Regions from separate parts of the Mus musculus genome. Here all the other regions are reported to be linked to region 4. Evidence: microRNA targets listed by miRTarBase, many of them from high-throughput screens and not tested one by one. Region 4 holds a microRNA gene; each other region holds the end of a gene's coding sequence.

Evidence for each region. The annotated mature microRNA mmu-miR-9-5p reads UCUUUGGUUAUCUAGCUGUAUGA and lies in region 4 at 1,889-1,911, shown strand. An mRNA with a match to its seed (bases 2 to 7 or 8) in the 3' UTR can be bound and repressed. Matches are read on the target gene's strand: a 7mer-m8 pairs with bases 2 to 8, a 7mer-A1 pairs with bases 2 to 7 and ends in A, and an 8mer does both.
Region 1: the mRNA of Ttyh2 is a reported target of mmu-miR-9-5p. Seed matches in the 3' UTR shown: 7mer-m8 at 3,390-3,396 and 7mer-A1 at 2,822-2,828.
Region 2: the mRNA of Atp1b1 is a reported target of mmu-miR-9-5p. Seed matches in the 3' UTR shown: 7mer-m8 at 1,722-1,728.
Region 3: miRTarBase lists Rela as a target of mmu-miR-9-5p. The part of its 3' UTR that is shown has no 7-base or 8-base seed match.
Region 5: the mRNA of Creb1 is a reported target of mmu-miR-9-5p. The part of its 3' UTR that is shown has no 7-base or 8-base seed match.
Region 6: miRTarBase lists Ddx17 as a target of mmu-miR-9-5p. Seed matches in the 3' UTR shown: 7mer-m8 at 1,705-1,711.
Region 7: miRTarBase lists Slc16a7 as a target of mmu-miR-9-5p. Seed matches in the 3' UTR shown: 7mer-A1 at 3,692-3,698, 7mer-A1 at 1,510-1,516 and 7mer-A1 at 318-324.

The regions. Positions count from the first base shown.
Region 1 is chr11:114,718,673-114,722,738 of GRCm38, reverse strand. It overlaps Ttyh2 (tweety family member 2), which reads right to left. Exons shown (of 14, transcript NM_053273.2): 14 at 1,755-3,610. The coding sequence ends at 3,536. It also overlaps a transcript of Dnaic2 not described here. Among named protein-coding and RNA genes, the nearest start is that of Dnaic2, 6.7 kb to the left of the region's middle.
Region 2 is chr1:164,434,970-164,439,032 of GRCm38, reverse strand. It overlaps Atp1b1 (ATPase, Na+/K+ transporting, beta 1 polypeptide), which reads left to right. Exons shown (of 6, transcript NM_009721.6): 6 at 494-1,934. The coding sequence ends at 757. It overlaps Nme7 (NME/NM23 family member 7), which reads right to left. Exons shown (of 14, transcript NM_138314.4): 14 at 1,733-2,017. The coding sequence ends at 1,985. Among named protein-coding and RNA genes, the nearest start is that of Gm39690, 18 kb to the right of the region's middle.
Region 3 is chr19:5,646,958-5,651,023 of GRCm38, forward strand. It overlaps Rela (v-rel reticuloendotheliosis viral oncogene homolog A (avian)), which reads left to right. Exons shown (of 11, transcript NM_009045.5): 11 at 1-1,177. The coding sequence ends at 459. Among named protein-coding and RNA genes, the nearest start is that of Rela, 11 kb to the left of the region's middle.
Region 4 is chr7:79,503,391-79,507,456 of GRCm38, forward strand. It overlaps Mir9-3 (microRNA 9-3), which reads left to right and starts at 1,874; the gene lies at 1,874-1,963. All of the region lies in intron 1 of Mir9-3hg (Mir9-3 host gene), which reads left to right. It overlaps Gm51285 (predicted gene, 51285), which reads right to left and starts at 1,946; the gene lies at 1,889-1,946.
Region 5 is chr1:64,596,707-64,600,770 of GRCm38, forward strand. Creb1 (cAMP responsive element binding protein 1) reads left to right here. Exons shown (of 9, transcript NM_009952.2): 9 at 528-4,064. The coding sequence ends at 672. Among named protein-coding and RNA genes, the nearest start is that of Mettl21a, 19 kb to the right of the region's middle.
Region 6 is chr15:79,526,724-79,530,789 of GRCm38, forward strand. It overlaps Ddx17 (DEAD box helicase 17), which reads right to left. Exons shown (of 13, transcript NM_001040187.1): 13 at 973-3,794. The coding sequence ends at 3,289. Kdelr3 (KDEL (Lys-Asp-Glu-Leu) endoplasmic reticulum protein retention receptor 3) reads left to right here. Exons shown (of 5, transcript NM_134090.2): 5 at 349-1,016. The coding sequence ends at 389. Among named protein-coding and RNA genes, the nearest start is that of Kdelr3, 12 kb to the left of the region's middle.
Region 7 is chr10:125,224,242-125,228,307 of GRCm38, forward strand. It overlaps Slc16a7 (solute carrier family 16 (monocarboxylic acid transporters), member 7), which reads right to left. Exons shown (of 6, transcript NM_001358915.1): 6 at 1-4,048. The coding sequence ends at 3,771. Among named protein-coding and RNA genes, the nearest start is that of Gm46205, 65 kb to the left of the region's middle.

The sequences.
Region 1 (4,066 bases), not on the chromosome of region 4:
CATATCAGGCAGGATTGCTGGCTCCTGTGAACACTTAATCAAGGCTACTTACTTCTTAGCAGCGTGATGAGCAATGAATGACCTTCAGAGGGAACTTTGGGGAAAGTCCAGAGTAGAAATGGGGTCCAGCTCGGGTTCTGTGAGAGGAGCTCCCGGCAGTGGTGAGGGGCGGCTCCACAGATCAGAGCTTTGGCCGCAGAAGCATGGGAGCTGAGTTCAAATGCCCAGCACGACATAAAAAGCTGAGTGTGACAGGCCCACGCCTGTAGCATCAGCTCTTCAGTGGGGGAGACAGGATTGTTTCTGGGGGTTGCTGGTTGCAGCCTCATCTCAGGGGAATAAGGTGGAGGGGTTGGTAGAGCTGAAGAGCCAATGTCCTTTGTCCTCTGGCCTATGTGCATATAACACACACACACACACACACACACACACACACACACACACACATGCCATCACCACCAATAAACAAAAAACAAAATAGGTAAAAGCTGCAGGTACCTGTAGCCTGAGACTTTCATTCAGAGCTTCCTCTTTAAAAAAAAAAAAAAGATTTTATGTAAATGAGTATCTTTCCAGCCCAATAGCTCCCTCTTTAAAAAAAAAAAAAGATTCATAGCCAGGTGTGATAGTACACACCTTTAGTCTCAGCATTAAGAAGGCAAAGGTTAGGCTGGAGAGATGGCTCAGCGAGTAAGAGCACTGACTGATCTTCCGAAGGTCCTGAGTTCAAATCCCAGCAACCACACGGTGGCTCACAATCACCTGTAATGGGATCTGATGCCCTCTTCTGGTGCATCTGAAGACAGCTACGGTGTACTTACATATAATAAATAAATCTTTAAAAGAAGGCAAAGGTTATTAGCCTAGTCTATAGAGAAAGTTCTAAGACAGTTGGGGATGTCTGTCTCAAATAAAGCAAAAACAGTTAAAGAGATATTTTATGCTGGACGTGGTGGTGCACGCCTTTAATCCCAGCACTCGGGAGGCAGAGGCAGGCAGATTTGAGTTCAAGGCCAACCTGGTCTACAGAGTGAGTTCCAGGACAGCCAGGGCTATACAGAGAAACCATGTCTCAAAAAAAAAAATTATGCTCAGCATGGTGGCTTTTAGTCCCAGTGCTTGGAATATAGAGGCAGGCAGATCTCAATGAGCCCTAGGCTAGCCTGGTCTACAACTTGGGAGGTCAGCCAAGGCCACATAATGAGATCTGTGAGTGTACGTTTTCCTTTGTGTGTGTGCATCATACATGGTGGCCAGAAGAGGGCATCAGAATCGTGGAACTGAAATGCCAGATGCTTGTGAGCCACCACGCAAGGGCTGGGAATCGAACCCAGGTCCTCAGCAAAAGCAGTAGTGCTCTAGACTACTGAGCCATCTCTACAGCCCCAAGATTTGCTTTTTAGTTTCTCTCTCGGTCTCTCTGTGTGTATATCATGCACATGTGGTTGTCCTTGAAGGTCAGAAGGGCAATCCCCCCCCCCCCATGATGGAGCTGCAGGTGATTATGAAGCTTGCTATGAGAGCTCGGAACGGAACTTAGGTCCTCTGGAAGAGCAAGTACTCACCTGCTGAGCTACCTTGCCATCTGCCTCATAACCCCTTGCTCATTTCTCACTGAAATCCAACACAGCTTTTGGAGGAGCCTCTTGGAATCCCCCTCCCGCGCCCCCTTCCCCCACCCCCCACGAGACCTCCGCGGAGGGGACATGCACAGTGGCTAGTCCTCAGAGGTTACCAAGTTAAGTGACTCAGCTGCACATCTTAAGGGAAGTGGTTTATTTCTGGGGGAGGGCGAACATGGATCAAGAAGAGGTTTGCCCACCCGACTCTTGTAGAACCCGGAGGAGTTTTAGTTTAATGTACATGCATTAAAAAGTCCTTCAGCTGCTGCAGAGGAGACATCAGGAGCAAGGCCTGAGGTCAAAGCTCCGAGTCTGCACAGGACACAGGCATACAAAGGTCGCTCACAGTATGCACAGGTTAATATGAGACACAGTGACGCCGGTGGCTTGGCTGGGAGCTGCCAGTACAATGACAATGTGGCTCTTCTGAAATGGACACATCCCTGTCCCGCACCATCAGTAGGGCCTCGCTTGGCTGCACAAGGCCACGGGGCTTCGGTGTGTAGTGTACTCTGGGTTGGTCAGAGGTTGGAAGCACCAAAGACCCCTAACCTGTCCCTTGGCAGGCAGGACAGGGGTTATTATTTTCTCCTGGCCAGAAGTGGCTGTTCCTCAGAATGAAGTCCCTCGGCCTTCTTAGCTATCATGTCTTTCCCTTTACAAGGCTCCAGATGTCCTTCTCTAGCCGTGTGGGGTAGAATGTCTCACTGATATCTTATTAAAAAAAAAAAAAAAAAGCCAAAAGACCAGGATGTGGCATCATGGCGCACCCTTTAATCCTGGCACTCTCAAGGCAGAGGCAGGTGATCTCTGAATTTGAGGTTAGTCTGGTCTATAGAATGAGTTCAAGGACAAGCTAGGGCTACACAGAGAAACCCTGTCTCAAAAAAAAAAAAAAAAAAAAAAAAATCAAAGCAAATCTGCTCCTGGCCTGGTGTGGTGTGGTAGCACACGCCTTTGAGCCCAGTACTCTGCAGACAGAGGCAGGCAGATCTCTATGAGTTCTAGGCCAGGGCCAGTCAGGGTATATAAGGAGACCGCAGCAAAACAAAACCCCAAAAACCCCACAGCTCACTCCTTGGCCTCTCCTCCAGATCTGTAAGATGGCTTGTGTGAGAGCCACAGTAGAACATCGGGTATAAAACCCAACCGAGCCTGAGTCTATTGCAAGTATTGGCCGTGCCTGCGGGAGGCGTGAGTCTTTGGATCATCAACCTGTTTTAAAACACTGGGAACCTGTTCAGGTGCTTTCAAAGTGTCTGTTCATACCTGAGACTGTCCCCACCTGCAGCTGACACCTGGTTCCAGAATGGGGTTGGCTGGTGGAGGTTAGAGAATTGTGCCCATGGCTGCCAGGCTGCAGTGCCCAGCTTGAAGCCACCCATCCCCTCTGGGGAGATCTCTTGATGCTGTCCTTCTGGCATCTAGGCAGAGTCCCTGTGGTCCCAGAACGTAGATCCTGGACCAGGTGTTCTCCTAACACACCTCCAATTGCCACCGCCTAGAAACCAAGGACCAAGTAACTGGAGGGTGTGGCCTGGACTTAGTTAGGGCCACGCTAACAAGAGGCAGGAGCCCAATGGAAGGGCCTTTAGAGAAAAGGGCTCTCAGGCTGGTGGTCCCCTCCTCAATTACCATTTTTCATCTGCTGAGGGTGGGACTTAAGGTGGGCTGAAGCGGGCAGCTGCCTCAGGGACAACAGCTGAGTCCTGGGGGAGTTAAGGCCGGAGAGGCTGGTCCAGTCACAGGCCTCACGTCCACCTGTGGCTTTGGTCAGGAGTCCCAGCTGTGTCTCTGCAGCCACAGGAGCCTGTTCGTGTCCAGGAACCTTCGGTTTCTATTCCAGAAACACAGCTGGGTTCTGCATCTGCTGAGAACCGAGCTGGCAGAAGAGGCAGGTACACTGAAAGCCCCTAGGACGGGAACTCGTAGTGTCTCAGGTGTTCATCCGCCACGGACATGTAGGTGGGTCTCATGCTGGGAGAGTACTGTGAGGAGAGAGGAGGAGGGACAGTCTCAAGAGGGCACAGTTTGCTACCTGGTCACCCTGACATTACACAGCCCATTTTCCCCTCTCGGTAAGCTGGTTCCACACCCATAAATTCAACTAACTTTGGATCAAAGGTACTAAAAAAAAATGCCTGTATTGCATTATGTTCTTGTGTGTGTGTGTTTTCTTCTTTTGTTTCTGTTATCTATTTAGACAGGGTCTTACTTTGTAGTCCAGGGTTCCCTGTGTAGCCAGGCTGGACTCCGACTCAAAAGGACCTTTGGGTCTCAGCCTTCAGAGAACTGGGGTTGTATGTTCCTGTCACCACACCCAGGGGCAATGAACCCAACCGAGATCCTGAACATAGAGGAGGATGTGTGCATGAAGAACAGCAGCACATCGTTGCACATAACGAGCTGGAGCATCCTCAGAGTGTGGCACTCTTGGGATTCCT
Region 2 (4,063 bases), not on the chromosome of region 4:
GGTGAGCTAGCCCACGGCATGTGTTAAATTCTGAGGCCAACTTTCTTTTTTCACTCTTAATGAATGCTAAAAATGAGTGCTACAGTACCAAGCCAAGAGATGGATGTAAGAAATAAAGGACACATATGTAAGTCTTCGGAGAGAATGTCGCTGAACACTGTCCAAAAGCCAGGGGTTCCTCTCACTGTTGGCCTTCCTGCGAGGCTGAGCCAGCTTAGAGAATCACTTACTTGGTCTCTGCCTCAGTGTCTCCATTTGCAGAGCCCCCTTTCGTGAATGCTTCTTGGCTGCTTTCGGCCAGAACCGACCTTTATCCTGTGGTGTCACCAATCCACGCCACCCACTGCTTGATAGGCTTAGCTTCTGAGAGGTTTGAGGTAGGCACGCCACTGCAGCCTCTGATGGGGTTGAGAGTCTCGTTCGTTAGAGCAAGACGAGACCCATGATGCGTGTATGCCCTTAAAATTAAATTTCATGTCCTTTTGGTTTCCAGAGAGATGAAGATAAGGATAAAGTCGGGAACATAGAGTACTTTGGGATGGGCGGATACTACGGCTTCCCTCTGCAGTATTATCCCTACTACGGCAAACTCCTGCAGCCCAAGTACCTGCAGCCCCTGCTGGCCGTGCAGTTCACCAACCTCACCGTGGACACTGAAATCCGCGTCGAGTGTAAGGCGTATGGTGAGAACATTGGGTACAGTGAGAAAGACCGTTTTCAGGGACGCTTTGATGTAAAAATTGAAATTAAGAGCTGATCACAAGCACAAATCTTTCCCACTAGCCATTTAATAAGTTAAAAAAAGATACACAAACCTACTAGTCTTGAACAAACTGTCATACGTATGGGACCTACACTTAATCTCTATGCTTTACACTAGCTTCTGCATTTAATAGGTTAGAATGTAAATTTAAAGTGTAGCAATAGCAACAAAATATTTATTCTACTGTAAATGACAAAAGAAAAATAAAAATTGAGCCTTGGGACGTGCCCATTTTTACTGTAAATTAGATTCCGTAACTGACTTGTAGTGAGCAGTGTTCTGGCCCCTAAGTATTGCCGCCTTGTCTATTTTATTTAGTGTACAGTACTATAGGTGCGCACTCTGGTCATTTTTCAAGCCATGTTTTATCATATCTGTTTTCTACTTTACGTGAGCAAGGTTTGCTGTCCAAGGTGTAAATACTCAACGGGAATAAAACTGGCATGGTACTTTTTCCTTTCTTTCTTATTTTCTTGGCTCTGAAATTTCAAAGGTAACGGCCCATCGATGAGCATTTTTAACACACTCCATAGTCTCTTCCTGTGGTATCAGGTCTTTATTATTATTTTTTTTTTTTCTTTATTTCCTGGGGCTGGGGGGTGGGCTGTCATGGGGGAACTGCCCTTTAAATTTTAAGTGACAGTACAGAAAAATCAAGGTGATGGGTTGTGTTGTGCTCCGTGCTGAATGCTGTCTCGCCATCTCTCCCCGTGTCCTCCAGTGTGTTCTGCAGCTGTGTCTGAGACTGGGATCTGCCTGTCACTGTGGCTAGTGATGGGCTGGGTAGTTTGCTTATTCGTCCATTTCCTTTCCTTCTTTCCTTTCTCTGGAGGCATCATGCGCTGGTGCTGCGTCCTTATGAATGTTTTGACCATTTTCATGGTGGAAGAATTTTATATTTATGCAGTTGTACAATTTTATTTTTTTCTGCAAGAAAAAGTGTAATGTATGAAATAAAACCAAAGTCACTTGTTTGAAAATAAAAATCTTTATTTTGAACTTTATAAAAAGCAATGCAGTACCCCATAGACTGGTGTTAAGTGTTGTCTACAGTGCAAATCCATGTTCTAGCATATGTAATAATTGCCAGGAGTACAGTGCTCTTGTTGATCTTGTGTCAGTCAGGTTAACACAACGGACAATAAAAGAATGAACACATTCCTCACGTGTGTGACTCGATTGTCTGGGCGTCTCAGTCTGTGTCGTCTTTACTCTGGAGAGCTAATTATCCAAGATCTTGAAGAAATACTGGACCTGAAAGGCAAGCACAGTCTGTCATTAGCTACAGGCAGGTCTGGGCTCTCCCACCTGCCACCTGCTGAGAGGATGGAGGACCCAAGGGACCTGGATACACACCTTGTCCCCAAGAGATGACCGAGTTAACAAGAGGCAGAAAGGAAGGCTGTGGCTTGTTTTTAGAAGTGTTCTACAGTGCTGTTCCACTCAGTGAACACAGGAAATCTTGACTCCTGTGTCAATACATAGCTCAACAAAGTGTTCGCTGAGTGTGTGTGTGTGTGTGTGTGTGTAAATGTTTCTATTGGTTAAATTAAATTTTAGGTTTGAGACTCAGGGAATTAAATGTGTGCATCTCCCTCTGGTTCAGGATGTACTTTCTTGGCCATATTTAATAAATGGCCTTAGTGTCAGAAAAGATAAAAAAATTACACTTTCTGGTATAATGGACTTGAAGATTTGGTATTGCCAACATGGGGATGTGCAAATGAGAATGATGGTGACATATGGACCTGGAAACCTTGCAGAAGGCCTGGGTAACCACAGCTCAGCTACATTCCCTCCTACCTTCAGGCTACTGAGAATGCAGGTCCACGCCAGCCGACTCTGAAAGACTAGAGCTAGTTTACAAACACTAGTAATAGAGTGAGTTCCCACCTATTGTTCCATAGTAAAAATCCCCATTTTTTCCTCTCCGTATGGCATACCACACCTGTGATCCCAGAACTCCAGAGTCAGTAAGACCTTGTCTCACCGTGCAGCAGCAAATCACGGATGACAGATGAACAGCAAAGGAACTGTCCCTCCACGTGGCAGGAAGGAACAAAAGAGCTTTGTTGAGCAGCCTGGTTGTCGAATTTTACGGGTTTTAGGAATTCTCCTTAATTACCGGGGAACTGGCAAAGTTCATAAATGGTATCCTCAGTATGAAAGTGCTTTTCTCAAAATATCAGCCATACATTAATGGGAACAGGGGTGTCACTCCAGCAAAGAGGACGGTTTATTTTATTGAAAATAAATAGCTCGTTTTGAAATCAGGTCTCACCATGGAACCTTGGCTGTACTGGGGCTTGATAGGTAGGTGCTGGGATTGGGTGTGTGCCACCCGAACTTGATACAGTTCATCTTTCCTTAGGCTGTGAATAAATTATGTTCATAATGATTGAATAAGAAGGGGAGTGGAGTCAGGGATCTCATGAAAAATTTTAAACTGGAGGACAATTTACAGTTTTGAAGCTATTCAAGGGTCATAGTGTTGGTGAGACAAACCTACTGGTTTCACAGACCCTGTGTCCCCAATACTCGAGCTGCTGCACAGGCACACAGCAATTTACCTATTCCTTCCTTCCAGTTTCTCTCCCAATCTTGTTTCCCACAACCTCTCCAGCACTCCCCACCTGGGATGCTCAGCACAGTACCAGCTAGGAGCCTTGTGAATGTCCTTGGCATTCTTTGACTTAACATCCACTTGACTGCCCATTATATACCGACTTTATCAAGCATCCTTTCAGCCAGAACAGGGTCAAGCCTCCAAAGCAGAAGCCCTCTGCAGCAACACGTTAGTATTAAGTGCTCGCTTATTCAAGGCGGTTTTCCTTCCATACACTCATTGTAGATTTTTTGTCATGTCCACATTTGTGTATTCTAACCACTTCTTGGGTGTGTGCAGAGAGAGCCACCACCTACCTCCTATAAATAGCATGATTGTTCTGTTTGTCTAGATCTAGCCAGTCAGACACAAAAAGAAGGGAACGAGGTTTTCAAAGGCAGTGTTAATCAAAGATAGGCCGGCACTGAAATAATAAGGAGAAGGCTCTTTCCATCCGTCAGAGCCCCCGATGTGTTAGCCTGTCCAAATCCCAGGTTAATAATAAATGGAGGCAGGTTTGTTTTTAGTAAGGGTATTATGTAATTAGAATTTAATGATCTTTAACTTCCATTGTATTGATTATCTTCAGCTAAGAACAAGGAAGAGTAGTTTTCCATCTATGGCCTTAAAACACTCATGTAGAGTAGAAAATATATTTAAAGGAAAATGCTACAAATATTTCAAGTAGCAGTTAA
Region 3 (4,066 bases), not on the chromosome of region 4:
ATGGTACCTCTGGCTCAGCCCCCAGCTCCTGCCCCAGTTCTAACCCCGGGTCCTCCCCAGTCCCTGTCTGCACCTGTTCCAAAGAGCACCCAGGCTGGGGAAGGCACGCTGTCGGAAGCCCTGCTGCACCTGCAGTTTGATGCTGATGAAGACTTGGGGGCCTTGCTTGGCAACAGCACAGACCCAGGAGTGTTCACAGACCTGGCATCTGTGGACAACTCAGAGTTTCAGCAGCTCCTGAACCAGGGTGTGTCCATGTCTCACTCCACAGCTGAGCCCATGCTGATGGAGTACCCTGAAGCTATAACTCGCCTGGTGACAGGGTCCCAGAGGCCCCCTGACCCAGCTCCCACACCCCTGGGGACCTCGGGGCTTCCCAATGGTCTCTCAGGAGATGAAGACTTCTCCTCCATTGCGGACATGGACTTCTCTGCTCTTTTGAGTCAGATCAGCTCCTAAGGTGCTGACAGCGACCCTGCTCAGAGCACCAGGTTTCAGGGCACTGAAGCCTTCCCGAAGTGCGTACACATTCTGGGGAGTGTGCTCCAGCTGCCCCCGACTTGTTTGGGTGATCTCTCTGGGGCGGCACGTTTTACTCTTTATCTCGCTTTCGGAGGTGCTTTCGCAGGAGCATTAACCTCCTGGAGACGGAGCTGGGAGGACTCGGTGCATCCCTGTGTTGATAGCTCCTGCTTCGGTAGGGAACTCTGAGATCCTGCTTCCATCTCCAGCTTCTAGCACTCTCCTAGAGAGGGACAGACTGGAGCCATGGCCTTAGGCCATATAGCCTTACTATCAAGTGTCTTCCTCCACGCGGATTCCTGTACACCTTGATCCAAAGCAGTGCTCCCAAGAGCAGCTCCTACGTGGTGCTGCCCGACACCAGCACATGAGGGGCCGCTCTTCTGTCCTGTGGAGCTCCTGCCCTGCCAGCTCTCCATGCTGAGCTGTGGCCAAGGGGAACAGGTGGGATGTTGCTGGCCGCCTTCAGAATCGGGGGGAGTTTAGTCTGAGACATCCCTGCTCCCCCTTTTTTCAAGTGCCTTAATAGCAGGGCAAACTGTAGAGTCAGGAGGGCAGGCTAGATGCTCAGCCACAAGACAGCCTTTACTGAAAAAGCTATTGGACTCTTGCTCTTTCTAGCTCTGAACTAATAAATGTCTTATCACGCTGGCCAGAGAGTAGCTGTCTTTCAGCAAACACTGAGCACACTGTGTTGCCCACTTCAGGTTGTCTGATGGTGAAAGAATTGACTGTGTACCGTCATCCAGGGGTCTGGGACTGGAGGATGCCTCCTGCAAACTCTTGATTCCTATTGGCAAATGTTACAGCAACTAGGACAGGGCTTCCACTACAAAAGGTTCAATAGGAGTGGGGTTCCTTCACATAACGTAGATCCCTCTTGCTCCAGGAGTTAGGTCAGCAGAGACATGGAACAGCCTGGTGGGGAGGTGATGGTGGGACCATCCTGGAAGTGATGAAGAACTCTGCACAGCAGTTGCCAGGTTTTTCCATTAGCTCAGGCTGAAACAAAACAGCCATTTTGCATCCCTAGTGATCAAGGTCATCTTGAGCTTACTGGATTTGAGACCGGCCTGGTGCCACACTGTCTTAAAACAGCTGTTCACATCCCCGCTCCCAAAAAGCCTGCTGTGCTGGTACATGCCTTTGCTCCCAGCCCTCCAGAGGCAAAGGCAGGAAGGGTGAGTTAAAGGCCAGCAAGGTCTACTCCGGGAGACCTTGTCTCAGAAAACAATACAAAAACCGGTCTGCCCTAGGACTTTTGATATTCTGTACCAGGAGGATACCTAGAACCTTTGCCCAGCCTTGGAGACCTAAACAAAGGCCAGGCGTAGCTCTTGTGCTAAAGCTGGACATACTTCCGGTTTTGTCTTGCACAAGCCTAGCAGCTAAAGGGGGCAGTCTTCTCGGGTGCGCATGCGCCCGCCCTGCGCGCACTCAGCACGGGGAGGCGCAGCTAAGCGGTGGGGAAACCCCTATGCTGAGAGATCTGTAAGTGTATAGTGAGCGAGCTGCAATAGTTCCAGACCCTTGGGAATAGGCTCTTGTGCAGAGCCTGATAGATTGTCCCTGCAGGAGAAGATGCGGTCGAGCTGCAAATGTTGGGGAAATGGAAGAAAGTCTCCTAACACAAACACTAGGTGCACATGCTTAGAGGGCGGGCGCAGAGGCGGGCCTGAAGCGAGGGTGTATAAAACCTAAGGACCCAGCTAAACTCAGCTCCAGATGGGGCGGAGCCCATCTGACCTTGGCTGTTTTGGAATCAGATCCAGGCGACCTTGCCCTGGAGCCGGGGCTGGGAGCCGGGACCCCTTTGAATGATAAGGCTTGAAGCTGAAGGCATCCTGTAGTGGTGCAGTTCAGATTCTCAGCCTCAGTTTAGGCAGTGTCTTGTTCTTGGCTTTCTGGCCTGCAGTGGCCTCTGGTGACCCCCGGAAGCCTTCTTTTAGTCCTTCCCACACTCCCTGAATGACCTCACCATGTTAATGGTTCATCCATCCTAAATCTTTGTCTTTAGCCCAGACTTCTGTCCCCTGGGCGCTAGCCATTGGACAGTTCTACTCTGATGTCTCCCAAACTCACCCTGTTCCAAGTGACCACAGTCAACCCAGGCTGTTCCTCCTCCTTCCTCTCGGTCTCAGCTGTTACCCTCCAGTGGCTCCAGCCGGAAACATCGTCACCACTGTGGATACTACCTCTTCTCCCTTACCAGCAATGTGCAACCAGTCTTTCACAAGGTCCTCCCTCCAGGACGGCTGCTACAGCTTCCTTCGGCACTAGTCTGCCTATTTGCAACCAAAAAGCTGACACCTAGACCTTCCTTACCACTCTCTCTTTAAACATCTGTCAACCACAGAGTCAGATCCCAAGGGCCTGAAGACACCTGCCCAGTGACCCGGGCCTTCCCTCCCACCTTCCTCACTGCCCCGTGAGGCTGCTCACCACCGCCCCTATGATGATTAGGCTTCGCTGTCAACTCGAATCCTTGTGAGGGGTTCCAAAGTGGTTTAACCAATGGAAGATTATGAGTGGCATCATTCCTTAGAGCCCCATAGTGAGTAAAAAAGAGAGAGAGAGAGAGAGAGAGAGAGAGAGAGAGTGCGAGCTGGGTGTAGTGGCGCACGCCTTTAATCCCAGCACTTGGGAGGCAGAGGCAGGAGGATTTCGAGGCCAGCCTGGTCTACAGAGTGAGTTCCAGGGCAGCCAGGGCTGCACAGGAGAAACCCTGTCTTGAAAAAACAAACAAGAAAGAGAGAGAGAGAGAGAGAGAGAGAGAGGGAGAGAGAGAGAGAGAGAGAGAGAGAGAAAAGAGAGAGACTGAAAATAACTAAGCCCCAGCAAGGATTTTTCTGCTCCCAGACTGGATACAATGTATCTGCTCCCACCAGCAGGTACCGGATCCCCTGAACCAGAGCCAAAATTCTTACGTGAGTTTTGTTTGTTTTGTTGGTCTGTATTTTATCCCAGTAATAAGAAAATATGTTCAACCAGGAAAAGCTAGGCCACATGGAGGAACCACTGCTCCGGGATCCCTAGTGGATCCCTAGTGGACCTTGCATGACCCTTTCTGACCCAGCTTAAGGCTCTGTAACCCTGATTCCTTCGAGTACCTCAAATTCGGCCCAGTGGCTCCTAGAGTGTTTCTCCTGGAATACCTGTGACATCTGCTGGTGAACTCAACTTTCAAAACTCAGTCCTTTTATTAGCCTCCTCAGAGAAGGCTTCCTTGTGCTCATGGCCCCACTGTTACTCAGCCATGTTTATCCTGTCCTCTCTCAGGGTCTGGGCTTCAGCAGAGGCAGCCCTGGGGAGAGGCTGATGAGGCACTGGCTGGGGCCTGCAACAGGTGATCCATCCAGTGGTAGTCAATGATGCTCTGAAGCTCAGCTTAGCAGGGCCTATTTGGGAATTCCATACTGCATGGCCAGAGCCCACCCCTGGTTGTCCTGCTCTGCAGGCTCGAAGTGTTCCCTCTCCTGCTCCAAACAGACAGGCATGAAGCGTGGCCACCTGCTTTCCAAGAGAACCCAATAAATGAAGGGGA
Region 4 (4,066 bases):
TCTGATGCTTTTCAGTCTAGCCTGTGTCCTTTTTCTGAGACAAGGATTTGTCTGTGAGGTGGCATTTGGAAAGAGGTGTGTAACTGCTAGCTGGCTTGCTCACTGGCTGACAGGGATGGCAGTGGGGATGCAGCCCACCTTGGATTTGGGGTCAAGATAAAAAATAGGACGAATCTAAAACAAGCACGGGGTACAGAGGTGTGGTGCCAAAGCCTGGTATTAAACAAAAAAAATCCAGATGTGTCATTTAAGGGAGACTGCTTTAGATACCTTTAGAAAAATTCCCTGATCCCTTCCAAATCACCCACTTTGGGCCTATTCTTTGAACCCAGCCTTATGGGATTTGCTGATGGAGAGTGTGTAAGGGGTGCCCCCCCCCCCGCCTCACCAAAACAGATCTGAATGAGTACCCCCACCAAATCTGGGCTGCTTTGGGGATGCCTTAGCACAGAGAGTCTTTGGGACTCCCTCATAGTCACTGCTGGAATCCTGGAACCCGCTACCCCCCACCCCCACTCTATTGTTAAGTCAATCTCTAGATCTTGGATTTAAGATCTTTCTAGGGATGACTGGGGGGGGGGGAAGGAGATATCGAATTTTTCATATTTAATCCTTTGCCTCCCAGGAATGGGTGAAGGGGGTGAATCAGGGCTCATAGTGGGAGGGGTGTACAGGAGCAAGGAAGACAGGATGGGTTTCAGGTGAGCAACCTCTAAACCACCACGTTTAGGAGACTGAGACGGGACTTCAGTTTGGTGGCCAGGCTCAATTCTACTGTGAAACCTCAAAATGTCAATTCTTTTGCCCTGTAAAGTCACTTGGAGTAAGTGGGCTAGGGTGTGCTGTGAGCAGAAAGATGGCAGGAGCTGATTATTTTTATGGGAGGTGAATAGGAGCCCAATTACGGCCTTGGATATCTTTAAGGCGCAGGGGCACAATTGATTACATATCCTTGGCTGTACTAGGAATGGTCAGAGGGAAAGGGCTAACAATCTGGTGCCGACATTTAGGACCTGGTTTGAGCGAAGCATGCCATGGGAATCCCTACAAGTCAGGCAATATATATGGGATACATTGATCTAGACACCCACTCCTTCCCTTAATCCCCAGTCTCTACCGCGGTGTCTGTACAGTGCTGGGCAAGAAAAAAAAGGAAGAGAGACCTTAAGGATAAAGTGACCGGTTCGCAGCCTCTCCTGCGCTCACTTGGTTGCCTTGGAGAGACCTCGACCTTAAACCTCTTCCCTCAAACTCTAACTCTGGTGGTCTGCGGTGGCTGCCAGGCACCTAAGACGTTGCTGGGAGGTCAGAGAGGTTTGAGAGAAAGGCCAGACTGTGTGCATCCAAGCAAGCAGGCCTAAGGCTTCTGAGGGCAGAAGAGGCGCTCCCCTGTCCTCGCGGCGCAGAAGCCGTGAACGCCGAGGCCATTGTAAGGCTGGGTGGTGCCGAGCGCGGGAAGGGGGCTGGGATTTGAATGGAAGCCCGTGATAGGCCGATCCCCCGACTGACGTCACTTCCCCGCGGGGCGATTAGCCTGCGAGAGGAGGGCTGATGGTCCAGTGCGCTGGGGGCCGCCAGGGCGCCCGAGGCTGCCCAAGCGCAGAGCGCCGGTTACCCGAGTGCGCCCCGGGACGGCGTCGAAGCGGGCCGCGCACGCACTGGACGGGGAACTGGGGATGGAGAAATCGCGAGGGCGAGGGAGGAAGGGAGCTGGGCGATCCGGGTGGCGGGAGTCCGTGTGTCTGTGTGTCTGTCGGTCCCCTCTGGCTCTCCGCGTGCGCCCGGGGCTGCGGGAGCGGAGTCCGCTCAGGCCCCCGCGCCGGGTCGGCGGCGGCACGTGGGGCCCACAGCGCGGCAGCGGTGCCGGCGAATGGGAGGCCCGTTTCTCTCTTTGGTTATCTAGCTGTATGAGTGCCACAGAGCCGTCATAAAGCTAGATAACCGAAAGTAGAAATGACTCTCACAACTTCTGCGTGCGATGGCCCGGCCGGCCGCCCTGGCCACAGGAGCCAGAGGAGCCCAGAGAAGCCCACGCCACCCAGGGATTCCAGCTCGACGGAGCGGCCACGCCGGGACCAGGTATCCGACCTCGGCTCTCCTGGGGACACTTGCCGTGTCCTGGAGGCATTCCCTTCACCTCCTCCTCGGTCCCTGCACCCCCATCACCATTTCCCAGCGCCGAGGCTGGAACCCCGAAGTGGAGTGGGTTGGGGGCAGGGAACGGGCTGGGGTTGCAGAGGGGTCGCTGGCGGGGAAGGCGCCAGCCTTTGCCTTCACCCCATAAATCAGGCTAGAACAATCCACGCCCTGAGCTGCAGACTAGGATTTTGGGATGCAAATGCGATGAGAAAGAGAACGGAGAGAGGAAGGGAGAGAGGAAGGGAGAGAGAGAGGAAGGGGGAGAGAGAGAGAGAGAGAGAGAGAGAGAGAGAGAGAGAGAGAGAGAGAGAGAGAGGAGAGAGAGAGAGAGACCGGTAGGCAGTGTGTAGGGGGAGTAAAAGGGTGGGCAGGGGGCTGCCCTGCCGCTAACAATGCAGCCTTTATCGAATTATTCGACGAGTCAGCCCCTGAGCACCATTAGCATACGGCTGGGGGGTTGCTGGAGCTTCGCCCCTCGGTGAGGTCAAGTTCTTGATAATTTGATCACTTTTCACCGGCTCTGGCAGCTGCCTTTGTGTGCAGTTGGGGGGTCTGTGTGCAGCGTGAAGCGGAGCAGAACTGGCGGGGAGTGTACTCAATGGCAAGGGGCCTAGGCGGGGGGCCTCCCGCCCCGACCGACCGGCCCTGCCCTGCATACAAACCAAGAGCAGGCTGCTGGGCGGGAGAGACGTAGCCCAGATCCTCTAAACCTCTATAGTTCTGGTCGGACGGCTGGGGCCGGAGCCTCCCCAACTTCCCCAACTGGTTAAGGGGGAAGCCAGGCTCTCTGGAGCTCCTCTCCTTCCCGCCCCAATAAATGGCAACATAAGATGTATTACAATGTCTAGCAAATAAAAAAGCAATTGGGGGAAAAAATCTGAATTCCGTTCCCATGGCAACCCAATGCTGCACACCGGCCACTCAAGCTCCAGGTCCCTCTTAGCTGGGCGCTGCGAGTGGGGCGTGCCAATGTTCTGTGTCCGTGGTTCTTAGCCCCACAAGGAGCGGAAGGTCCCTTTGAGGTTTCTCTGCCTTCAGGTCCCTCTCCTTCCTGCCACTCCCTTTACTCTTTCCTTATCTTGAAGTTTGGGGCCCCCTGCAACTTAGGAAACCATTAGGGCTCCCGCGTGGTGGATGTAGACCCAGCTATGGACCCTATCAAGTGTAGGGAAGAAAGGATCCAAAGTCAGTTCACATACCTTAAGGCTTGGGGTCTTTTGGGGTTCTTTAAGGCACATATCAGTGTATACATGCTTTAGCAGATTGACTGGGAAGGATTAGTGCTACCATCCTGACTTGACCCGCTTTCTTTTCCTTGAACATATTAAGGAAGCAGATCTGGGGGGTGAGGGCCTACTCCTTAGGGAGTAGCACACACAGCGCAGAAGTGCAGAGGTGGGCACTACCTAGGTCACCTTACCTCCATCTTGGCCCAGTTCAATCCCAAGAGCCTCTTGCCTTAGTTATTTATAAGATTGGTCTCTCAGCCTCTATCCAGAACCTGCCCAGCCCCCTTGTGATAATAGAAATCTTTTTCCATCTTTGTGCCTACCAGCCGTTCCTCCCCCCCCCCCACACCCTTTGCTTAGCAAAATTATCTTAACAACAAAAAGGTGACTTGTGTAAAAGTAAAAATAAATTCAGTGATACAAAGGAGAACCTCCTGGGTCTGGGGAGGGGCAAGGTGTGGCTTCCATACGGTAGATGGAGAGTTTTTCACTGCATTGCCTTGGAATGTTAGACAAAATTAAACGCGGTGGCAGGAAAGCAGCTGTCTCTGTGCCTCCTTCTCAGGGACTCATTGGGTGGAAGGAAGGGGTTCGAGGTCCTTTCATCTTTTCCTTCCCGTTTCTTAGGCCTGTGAAGGGTCACTCGCGTGTTTGAGGACCCAGGAGCCTCCCTCCCCCCAACTGCATCTACTGGGCTT
Region 5 (4,064 bases), not on the chromosome of region 4:
TCCACTTAGCCTCCATCCTTCCCACCAACTTCCATTTTTGAAAGTCTTTCATTAAATCTGGAGCTCAAGGATTGAGGTAGGCTTTATGGCCAGTTCATTCCATGGAGCTTTCTGCCTTCTGTCTGAGCCCGTTGTGGGCTTTTATCAGGGTGCTAAGCATCTGAATCCAGTCCACTGCTTGTGCGTTGGTACTTTACCTACTGAGCTATTTTTAGGTAGTTGGAAAAGATACATTTTTTACCTAGTGCGTGTACACATGCATGGGAGCAGATAAGTAAAGAAGAAGCAGTAGGTTCTCACCATCAGCCATGTGGGGTTCAGGGGCTGCGCTCAGATTGTCCAGCTTAGCAGCAAGGGGCATTACCAGTGTGCTGCCGCATCAGGCAATGCCAGTATCATTTCCTGAGCATTTCTTGTATAATACTGAACGTTTGCTTATTTCAGCTGTTTCTCTAGAAAACATTCTGTTCTAAAATTAGTGGAATGGAGTTTATGAACATAAATTTTTTTGTGTTTTTCATTTTTAGGGAGGCAGCAAGAGAATGTCGTAGAAAGAAGAAAGAATATGTGAAATGTTTAGAGAACAGAGTGGCAGTGCTTGAAAACCAAAACAAAACATTGATTGAGGAGCTAAAAGCACTTAAGGACCTTTACTGCCACAAATCAGATTAATTTGGGATTTAAGTTCTCTCCTGTTACGGTGGAGAATGGACTGGCTTGGCCACAACCAGAAAGACAAGTAAACATTTATTTTCTAAACATTTCTTTTTTTCTATGCGCAAAACTGCCTGAAAGCAACTACAGAATTTCATTCATTTCTGCTTTTGCATTAAACTGTGAATGTTCCAAAAACTACTTCCACTTCTGCCCTCAAGAAATGTGCAGCGCCAGGAATCATGAAGAGACTTCTGCCCTCCGTCTCCACCACCCTCAAGAAGTAATCATTTGCTTATTTGTAAATTGTTGGGGGAAATGAGGAAAATGAAATCTTGGCTTTCTTATTTTTGTTTTAGGTTTGTTTTGTTTGTTTTCTTATTAATGACTTCAAGGTTTGTTGAGCTCCATGATTGCCTTAGGGACAGTTACCCAGCCTGCTGAGCTGACGTAATGTGTGGGCCACACAGGAAAGTAAGGAAGGTGCAATGAAGAAGTGTTGACTGCCAAATTAATGTTTTTACACTTTCATTGTGAATTATGTCGAACTATTAAAAACATCCTTTAAATAAGGATATTAGTGTGGTGTTGGGAGTAAACTTTATATGTATGTTCCTTTCTTCAGCACTGACAAGTTGTCCTTGGTGCTGAGAAGCACGGTATTGGCTACAGTTCCTCTGTAGGGCAGTTGTTGCTTCTTCATTCAGTTCTGTGTGTTCAGCAGTTTGAATACATTAACAGAAGTAACCAACTGAATGGAAAGCATGGTTTTGAATTTTGAGTTAAGTTAAAATCATACTATAAAGCTTATTCTGGTGAGTACTAAGTCTTAATGAGTAGGTGCTGGCCAGGAAGCTAACTCCTTGAGTTATACAATAAGGTGTTTAATAAATAAAGACTTTTGTCCTTGCTTTCCGAATCCTCATACTGTCACTCATTTACCTAGTCCACTGCTGCATTTACACTGTGCAGCCAACAGGAGCGTTTTCAAGATGTCCAGCCAAAGTGATGGAAAGTACTAAATAGACAACCTTTTCTATAGTCATATTTTTATCAGAGAATCTCTTGGGATTTTTTTTTTTAAATCAAAGAAGTTACAAGGATGTGATTCTAAAACATTGTGTTAAATGCACACAAGAAAAGTAATTTCCTTCAGACATTGGAGTGTGTGCTATGGTACAATATTTGGCAAACACTTTTTTTTTTCTCCTAAAAAAGGTGGTACTGCTTTAACTATCCAAAAGCTGTTCTGTTTCTGAAGATGTTTCTACTTACATCCTTACCTATAGTCTACATTTATGTGTAACATTGTTTCTGATAAGACTTAGTAATAACTCATTTTTTTTTTATTAAACCTAATAAAATCTAAGAGTTACCTCTTTAAAAGACAAATATGAGGACAGTGGAGGCTGGCATGTTAGGTTACTTCACGTTTGAGGAAGAACTCAGACTCAGAAGAGTGTCTTATATTTGCTTTGGGATATTAAGAAAGTTAATATTAATATCAGTATACGTATGAGCGGGAACTGTTTGGCCCATTTCTAAGCTAAGACTAGGTTGCTATCTGTAAATGTTCTACGTTGTTTATAACAAACCATTGTCTTTTTTCAAGGATGAACAGTTTGTGAAGGACATGATTCTAGGAGTTGAGTGATGTAATAATCCTTCTGTCTGGACAGTTCACCAGATTCTCCAGAAGGCTTTCAAACGGCTAAAGTTTGATCTTTGTCCTGCTGAGCTTGCTGGGAAGGAGATAGCATAAAAGCTGTCTGTGCTAGCAAGTAGATGTATCATTTGCTAAACGTGGTGAAACAAAAAGGAAGCAGAATCACAAATCTGTCAACAAACTGGAATTACTTCACATTAAGTCAGAATGTCAGATTGAACATTTTAAATGTCACAAGTGGAAAATTTGCCTAGCGTGCAGAAGTTGTAATCTCTAAGTGTCTATCTTCAAAAGTCGAGGTTTTCTACATAATGAGGAAACAGGTGGTCTCCTTAACCCTTTAGAGACCAAGGCAGTCTCAGCCATACTTCCTAGTTGGATGGATATTAATTTACAGAGGCCTGGGTCTTTATGCTTGGAGCATGACTGTACTAGTTTGACACCAGTTACTTGATAATGTGAGAAATATATGGTGTTGTGAAACCTGACTTTGAAATTTCAGTTCATACAGAAAGAAATCAAAGCCTCTTTAATGCAAGCTGGATTTTTTTTTTAACATGAGAATGAGAAAAACAAAAACAAAAACTTGTTTTTGAGCTATGTGGAGAATCTTTATTAAGAAAATGACATAATTTTTTAAAAACTCTTATATCCAAAATTGTATGTGGCCACATTATCGGTAATGTTTTCTCTTCATGTTGGCCAAAAGGGAATGGAACTGTCATAGGAATCTGTACATATGCTACTGATTTGCCTAGAGAATAGAAGTTTGGTACTGCTCACTTTGCATATATATAGTGGCACTTTTATCTATAGGGCAGATTAACTCTAATAAAAATGAAATGGGGATAGGTTTATTTTTGATATATTACTCTTCTGAGTTTTCAAGCTTTGATAGTGTTTAACTGAAAAATGGTTTAGAAAGGGCTAGATCCAATATGTTCATATTTAAAAAATTGATATGAGATACAATTTAAGTTCTTTATCAAAAGCAAGTACCATATTAGCAACCATCATATTGTCCTAGGTGCTGTGCTTGTTTAGATGGTATAGTGTGGGTGGGGACGTGGCATTTTGTAATATATGTGTACATATATACATACATACAGTATATCATCTAAATGCTCTGAGAGCTGGTATGTCAGGAATGCTGAGTATTATAGCGTATTGAGGTCCGGTGAGATTCCACTTTGCTGTGCTTTCTCCTGCATCTCTTCTGGTGTTTCAGTGACTGTTTTACTCCAGCACTCACAACTGGGTTTTCTCTTTTCTTCCAGTTTTTTATTAGGTTTTTGTTTTGTTTGGCTTGATGCTTTTGAGTATGTTACCAGTCACTTAAAAACTCCTAAACCCCAAGCTCTTTTCCCCCTGCTTTGTTTCTGGCAGCTATAAAATTGGTAAGAACATTTTGAAAAAAGGTTTTAAGAGAATTGTTTCAAGAATCATTTTGGGCAAAGACTTTTCATGTTTCATTTGAACAGGGATTTTTGTCAAGATGTGTTTTGATGGTAGGCCAGCAAGCAGTGCTACTGTCTAAAGCACAAACCAGTCAGGCAGGCTGTCCAGCCAGAAGCCCTCTTGGCTGAAGCCGGTCTCTGCCTCTCAGGACTCCTCCCTACTATTTTCGACCATTTAGGGTGACATGGAATCATACAAATATTGGGGCTTAGAAACAAACATTTATATAACCCGGAATGCTTTTACGTACTTGAAGTGACTTCAGTCAAAATGTTGCCTTTCCTGT
Region 6 (4,066 bases), not on the chromosome of region 4:
AACTAAGTTCACACAGAACCCCAGGGATCTAGGTTATGGGGTTTGTTATTGTGTCACCATGCCCAGCAGCCACCATGCAGAGACTAATCAGGGCAGTTTAAAAACAGGGTTGGGATGGATAGACACAGGCTATGGGAATGGAGTAGACATACTCATCTAAAATGATGTAAGAACACCAGTAACCAAAGTGGGGGGAAACAGCATAAACCCCACGGGTGACCCGCAACAAGTAACAAGGGAGGCAAAGGCAGGCGATCTCCAGTTCAAGGCCAGCTAAAGTGGAGGGAGGGGGGCAGGAATTCTTCTTTAAGTACAACACATAGTAAAATTTTATCTTTTTTTCCTTAGTCCTTAAAGGAAAGAAATTAAGCCTCCCGGTGCCAGTTTGAAGAGAAGGGCCACCCCTATGGCAGCTAAAGCAAACCATCCGGATCACTGCTTCATGACTTCAAGCCAAGACTTGGGACTTCATGTTAGAGTGACTGGTGTGAATTTGAGCAAAGCACCATCTTGGGATAAACGGCAGCACCTCCCTAATCCACCATGGATAGAATGGGATACCTAGCCCATCTGCCCAAGGATGGTGCCCTACAAGTGCCAAGTGAAGAGAAGCAGTAGATACCTCCGTGAGTGGCTCAACTCCTTGCTTCCTTAGGACTATACAACTCATGCCCAGGGCTGGGAAGATCCATTCAGAGAACCTCCCTAGGTCAGCGTGCTGAACTCGAGCCACATGTCCACCTGGCCTGCAAGCTGTAAGCAGTCCAAATAACCAGCTCTGCCAAGTGCTTAGGACTGCTTAGCTCACTTGTTAGCTGAGATGGACACCATGGCCACTGTGTAAATCCATTCTGTGCTAAGAACCACCAATGTAGCCTTCCCCTCCCAGCCTGAGGTGCTAAATAGAATGCCTAATACACTCACCCTGCTTAATGTTTTCACTGCTTGGAGGAAAACATTAAGAGTACACTTAAACTCTTTTTAAGTTTTAATGTAATAAAAAATTCACACCTTTATTGTCAAGTATTTATTTATACCTACAAAAGAAAACAAGATGGTATCAAAAGGACAATTTACAAACTAAGAATAGTAGTAACATAGCTCTGAGCATCCTGTGCATAACATCACACCTACAATTCAAGTCTCAATGACAGGAATGTGTGGAGAGACCAGCAAGGGCGTTAGCAGAGCACTGATCCCAAGCAAAAGCCACCAACCTTTTTAGATGAGAAGTCTGCACAATGGATGGTTAGGGAGAAGCAGCCCACAGCCTAACACCTAAGCCCTTTCCCTAAGTGAGTAAACCATAAACGGCAATTAACCCAGCTGGAAGGGTTTGCCTGCACCTGTGCTGACAAAGGACAGACAAGGAGGCACAAGTCACTTGCGCCAAGTAGGAAAACTGCTAGTTTTCTGCTGTACCCAGGCCAAAAGAGCTTATGAAATATGACATCTGCTACTTATCTGGATTATGCCTCTGCTGGAGAGGGGAGGTTAAGCAACCTAGCTACTGCTTCATCCCCGGAGGCAGTAATAGAAGGGGTGTTTTTGAAGAGTGACAGGAGCACAGGACAGCCCATGGTATAATGCTTAATAAAAAATAAATCTGAATTTGGTTGTAGAAAGTATCTGTAACAGGCTGGTCAGCATCAGTGATTAGACACTTGCTTTTGGCAGGGTGAGAGACAGACAAGACAGGACACACTTTGGTTTCAGAGCACAGAGCAGGGTTGCCACACATCTGTGCCTACCATCCCCCCTCAGCTTCATAGTCTGTAAAACGGTAAGGAAAACAGAAGAATGCCAAGCATGCTGACAACCTACCTGTTATGTTACACACTGAATCCTATTTTCTGAGCCCCTCAAAACCATCCCTTTCTCTTCCTGAAAGAAACCTCAAAATTGACTGTTACCGTACAAAGGAGCAGGCACCCTCAGGGCACAGCCAAAGAATGCAGTGGAGCCTCCTCCCTGGAATGAATTTGAGCGGCCCAGGTAACAGCCACACACTAGCCCCACCACTACCATCTACTAGAGGCGCTGGGGCATCTGCTCTCCTGTCCTGTTTAGGTGATAAGAGCAGAATTTTCTTTCCAACTTCATCTGCTGCTCTTCCAAGTTCCAGGAGCATTTAATAAAGGGGTGAGACGAGCTCACCCCTACCTTCACACTCCAGAGAGTAAGGAGAGCCTGGGCTTCAGCCCTCCATGGCTACTACCTACCTGTGAAAAACTGAGGGCAAAGGAAAGCCCAGAACAAGTGCCTCCAGCTGTTAGAAAGCACCTCAGAGACCAGGCTTTGAGGAGGCAAGCTCTTTAGCAGTCCTGCTCAGGAGAGCCTGACCAAGTGGGCAGAGCAGCCCATGAGGTCAATCCTACTCTAAGAATACTGTTTAAGAGGAAGATCCGCCCACTCCCTTGCAGTCCATCATTCCCAAAGGTGCTTTCTAAATGCTGCTCGGAAGGCTCTGCTGAGCGCTGATGCTTACCGCTCAGTGGCTGATCTGGCTAGAAAATGACTTTCAGATGGCCCCTGGTTATGTGGGGATAAAAATCCCAGGCAGCCTCTACCCAGATGCCAGTCTACCTAGTAAAAACAACCCTTTATAGTTTTTTAAACTTAAAAAGACAACGCTTGAACTCAGAAATGTAATTTCTAACTCAACACTAACCTGGTTAATATTTAATAACTGCAGGAACAAGTGGGGAGGGGGCATGATGACAGAATCGATTAGGAATTTTTAACTGTTGAATGCACATAAGAAGCCATCAGCCAAATGACCAACAAAGCAGTCTTAAAAATTCATCAGGCCTGAGTAATCGAACTTCAGTAACTTAAACCCACCATGGGCAGTGTGCATGGAAATCCCTCTTGGCTCCTCCCTAAGGAGAGCAGTCTAAAGAACAGATACCACTTCCTGCAGAGCAGTCCCTCCTTCCCTACCCACCCTCCCATGGATAAACAGGCTCCAACAAAAGTGCCTAATACCTTTAAGATGAAAAATAGCTCAATATCCTCAACATGCATTAAGCTGGGGGAAAGAAATTAATTCTTTCCAGTCAGTTATGTGTATATATATTTTTTCTTACAAAATCTGTAATTATAGACTGGATCTTTTGGGTGGGCAGAAGAAACCTGGCAGTGAAATTTTAACTATCTGCATTAAAAAAAGATAAACCGTAATGGTTGAGAAAAGAAAAAATAAAAATGAAAAGGTCTAGAAGGGTAAAAGACAGTGTTCCTTTAGATGTGTAATTCATCTGCACGAGTCACTCCTGCCATGCAGTTTCATTTGCGAGATGGAGGAGGGGGAGGGGGAGGGGGAGGGTACTGGTAAGCAGTCTGCCCCATGTAGCCTATCATATTGGTAGCTCCTGGAGGCTGTGCAAACTGCTGTGACATCAGTGGCTGTGGCTGCTGCCCAGATCGGCCTATCCCACTAAACTGCTGGCTGGAGCTCTGAGAGCTCCTCCCTGCTGAGGCAGTGCTGCTCGCCCCGTAAGTGCCAGCAGCATACTCCTGCGCCGTGTAGCCACTGGTGCCATAGGCAGCTGCCCCATAGGTGCCTTGAGCATAGGTGTATTGGCCTGCTTGTGCCCCAAAGGCAGAATTTGGGCTTCCATAGCCACTGCCATTAGCATAACTGGCTCTATCGGTTTCACTACGATCCCTGTAGCTTGTAGAATCTCTCCGGCCACCATCCTTGACCCCTCGAAGCCTCCGGTCACACTCGTCCTGATACATCAGATTGGGATTGTTGGCTGAAGAAGTAGTCCGGTATCGTGAGCGGCCTCCTAGTGGGAAGAAAATGCCGAGTATGTGATCCCAACAAACTGAACATAAAGGGGCACAGAAATACTCAACACATGTTCTTCATCTGTAACGCTAGTCTCTAAGTTAATACTTCACTCAACTTGGTGCCTTTTAGAGTCTTCTTGATAACAAAACCAAACTTAACCTGAGTGTACCACACAGCTGTAGATCAACTGTATGCCTCGGTTAATACTATGCTATGAAATGAGGTAAAATTACCAAATTCTCCAAAGGTATCAAGAAGGAAAAACAG
Region 7 (4,066 bases), not on the chromosome of region 4:
ATTTCCTGAGCCTGCACGCATAGTCTTTCCTCTCTCCTCCTCCTCTCTCTCTCTCTGTGTGTGTGTGTGTGTGAGAGAGAGAGAGAGAGAGAGAGAGAGAGAGAGAGAGAGAGAGAGAGATTCTCTTGCATCAAGTTAATTACTTCTAGTATGGCTTTGTTTTAAATATTAAAAGTCATTACGTAGGCAAAATGCATGCCACAGACCTCTTAGCCCCTACTCTAATTTGCATTCTCCCAGTAAATTGAGCCAAACTTTTGGCTATTTTATTTTATTAAAGGTTAGAAATTATGTATGAGTTTTTCTTTATAAAACATTCTTTGGATAAATGTAATTTCAACTACTTAGAACATCTACCATTACATTTCTAATTTTTCGTATTGTCAGGTTGTAGGGATAGAGGCAGCGAGTTGAGAGGCTACGTCTTTACAGCATACTTTTGAATTTACCAAATTGAACTGTTTTACTTATTTCCTGCTGTCTGGGTGGAGCATGTGACCCTGTGAGGGAAGATGGTTGGAACAGAACAGAAAGGGGAAGTCTGTGAGCCATGTGAATTTACACTAAAAACATCATATCTTTACTGTTACTATCTAGCCCATTGCCTCTTCAAAAAGAAGCTGAAATGACTAGGCCAAGACAAGTTCATACCCATTTATCTGTCTATGGGTGATAATAGTTAAATAGCAAAAAATATGGGATGTTTAACAACAAATGACAAAATATGTAAGCTAGCTACTGATTGTAACTTGTGAGTACTCTAGTTCCTTTAACTTTGAAGTGATCAGTAGGACATAGTGGGCATTTTAATGGTACCAAGCTAGTTTCTTATCTTAAACATCTAAAATCTGTTGTTCCTTGGTGGCAGGGAGGTATTCAGTATTAAAGTTGCAAACCAGGTTTGGTTTTTTTTTCCCCTCTACTTGGGTAATTAGGGACACACACGTTAGGTCAGTAGTCTTTCCTCGGTCTTTGAAAGGCTTCATTAAAGCAGCAAATATTTCAACAGGTGCAGTGGACAAATACAAGCAAACAAATGGATTCTTTTCTATTATGGTTTTGTTGCTGATTCGAGTGAGACACGGCTTAACCTAGGACCTATTCATTACAGATGTACACACTTATCATGTCATGTTTGTAGCATGACTCTACACAACAGATTGTGTGCTTTACAATCTTTCCACCCTCTTAAAAAATATCAATGCAATGACCAAGACAAATTAAGCAAATCAAGATGACTGAAAAGCAAGGAGAGGAGTACATTTTGGTTTTGATTTGATGCATCAGCATGTGACATCACTTCCCAGGGAGAAAGGCAGGCGCTGGAGTCTACTGACAGCATCTCCTCACACTGGTGGTGGTCCACAGGGACTTCGACTACAGTTCCCAAGCTTACTGCCTTTCTGCCTCTCTCCTCCTGTTGTCTGATAGCTATATTAGTTTCTAAAGGTATTTTCAAAGAGTGCAAGAAATTCTTATCAGAAGCATTTATGGTTGACTAGGATGACTTCTTTGGACACACAGGAGTGAACACGAAGGTAGGAATCATATAAAGAAGGTAATTCAGAAGCCGGGCGTGGTGGCATCGCATGCCTTTAGTCCCAGCATTCTGGAGGCAAAGGCAGGCAGATTTCTGAGTTTGAGGCCAGCCTAGTCTACAAAGTGAGTTCCAGGACAGCCAGGACTATAAAAAAAAAAAAGACTGGGTGGGGCTAACTTTTCTTTAAATTCATATCGAGCCACATATTGCCCTGCTTAATTTCTCTACAATATTGGCACATCTTGTTTTTATTGAATAGCTGAAAATTAGAAACTTCATATTCAAGAAAGCAATTGAAAATTGAAAAATTGAAAAATGAAGAAAATCCAAATCTTACTTTGCTCCCTAAATATGAACCTATAAAATCACCTGTATGAAGTAGTGTATAATTGTTATGGGCAAATCAAAACTTTAACAATACCCTGAAAATGTGGTGTCTAAATAGATCCTAAGAAATAAGAATAGCACCCACTTCTATTGAAAGGAAAGGAGAAGGAGGGAAGAGGAGGAGGAGGAGGAGAAGAAGAAGAAGGAAAAGAAGAAGGAGGAGGAGGAGGAGAGGAAGAAGAAGAAAAAGAAGAAGAAGAAGAAGAAGAAGAAGAAGAAGAAGAGACATTGTAAAAGTGACTTCAATAATAAAGCACAAAATTCTCCCTATTTATCAGAAAATAAAACAAGACATGAGACATATAATATTTAGTTTTAGCTGTTATGTACACAATAGGAGGTCACAGACCTCTCAAAGAGTGTTGTAAGAATGAGATTGATTTCTAGACACTTTAGGTTTGGAAAATGAGCAAACTCCTAAAGTACCCTGAACAACAATTCTCTGCCATGTTGCTACTGTGTTATAAACTACATGTCTGTCAGTCCCCACAGCTTATGTTGCCAGAAGTGTCCTGGGGACACACTCCAGCTTTTCTGTTCTATTCTCAGTCGTGGGTAGTCCAATCAGTAGAGGGCGGAATTTTCAAGTGTTTCCCCTCCTTGTATAACAAGAGATGTCTTCTGGGATGGAATTCAAGGTCTGGGTTTGGTTTTTGCTTTTGCTTATTGTAGTAAAGAATTATAAATTATAAGTCCCTGTTAGCAGGGCTCAGGAATGACCCCTGGTCTTGTCAGTTCCACACCTATGAATTACTCATGAGATCAAGCTTATGTCACTACTTTGTGCTGGAGGGAAAAACAGAATCTAGTCTACTTGAATATGTCAGCTCTTCTCATTTATTTGGCTTGGATAGTTCAGCACCCCATTAAATCTGCATTAAGCCCCCATTTTAAAAAGTCATCGAAAGATGTACATCATTGCTTAGCAGGCTTCTAAAGCATGGATTCATCCGATTTTTCAGTGTCTCTGCATTTTAAATCAAGTTATGTGTTAGATATGAATTCTGGAAATTAATGGAGGGGTTCTATTGTCTAGCACCCAGCCCTAATTGTGACCTCTCAAAGAAACTGTGTAGACAGGTGTGCAGATTAAACTGGCACAAGTATGGCAGATTGATGGTGAAAAACTAGTTCTGTTTTGTTTTTAACCAAACTTATCCATGTAGATTTTTTTCCCTTTAGCCTTCTTTGAGCTAATAACACTGATTTTTTTTCCACCGTACAGTTAATTTTAATCCACACTGCAAAACTGTACGCAAATATAACATATTCCTGCTTCCCAGAGTTTTCCTTTGACTTAAGAATGACTATGATAATAATTTTTTCAAATCCATTTATTTCTTTATGATCTCCCGATACTCAGTGTTTTCGTAGATACATGTGTAATTCTTTGTGTGTTGAAAAGAAAAAAATGATTGTCCTCAATTCACTTCATGACTTAATATCAAATGAAAAAAAAATGAACCTTCAAGAGAGTCATTTTGTGAAATTAATGTTGAATTGTGCTTAGGTGAGCCAAGGTCTGGAATGCAGATCTAATTCTGCAGCTAAAAGTAAAAATCGGTGGAAGATTTAAAAAATTAGTTGTTTTCATCACAACTCAGGTGCGCAGATGAGCAAGTGCGTGGGTTTTCTACGTGCACCATCTCAAGAGTTGACCATCCCAACAAATGTTAAAGCATGAATTTATACTATGGCATTGAGGAAGATGCCAGTTTTGTTACTGTTTGCGATGTTTTTGTTGCAGCTAAAATCCTTTGCAATTCTTTGGAAAAAAACACACACACACACACAAAGAAACTCATGATTAAATTCATGAACACTGATTCGGCGATGAGACTTGTTAAATATTACTCTCTTTGTCCCTGTCTGAGGGAGGATTGTGTGCGTTTGAAGCTTTGACAGTAACTTCGTCCTGTTTAGATCTGTTCAGGGCCTCCATTTCTCTGGACGCGTGTGAAGCTGACTTCTTCTTCTTTGCCTTCTCTCTCTTCCTTTCCTTGTCGAGAAGTCTATAGTTTATAGCATTGCCAATCAGGAGGTAAGTACCTGATACTAACACGACTGTTCCGCTGGCTATGTACAGGTATTTATATTCTCCAGTTATATCAAGCAATTTACCTGTGAAACAAAGAACAC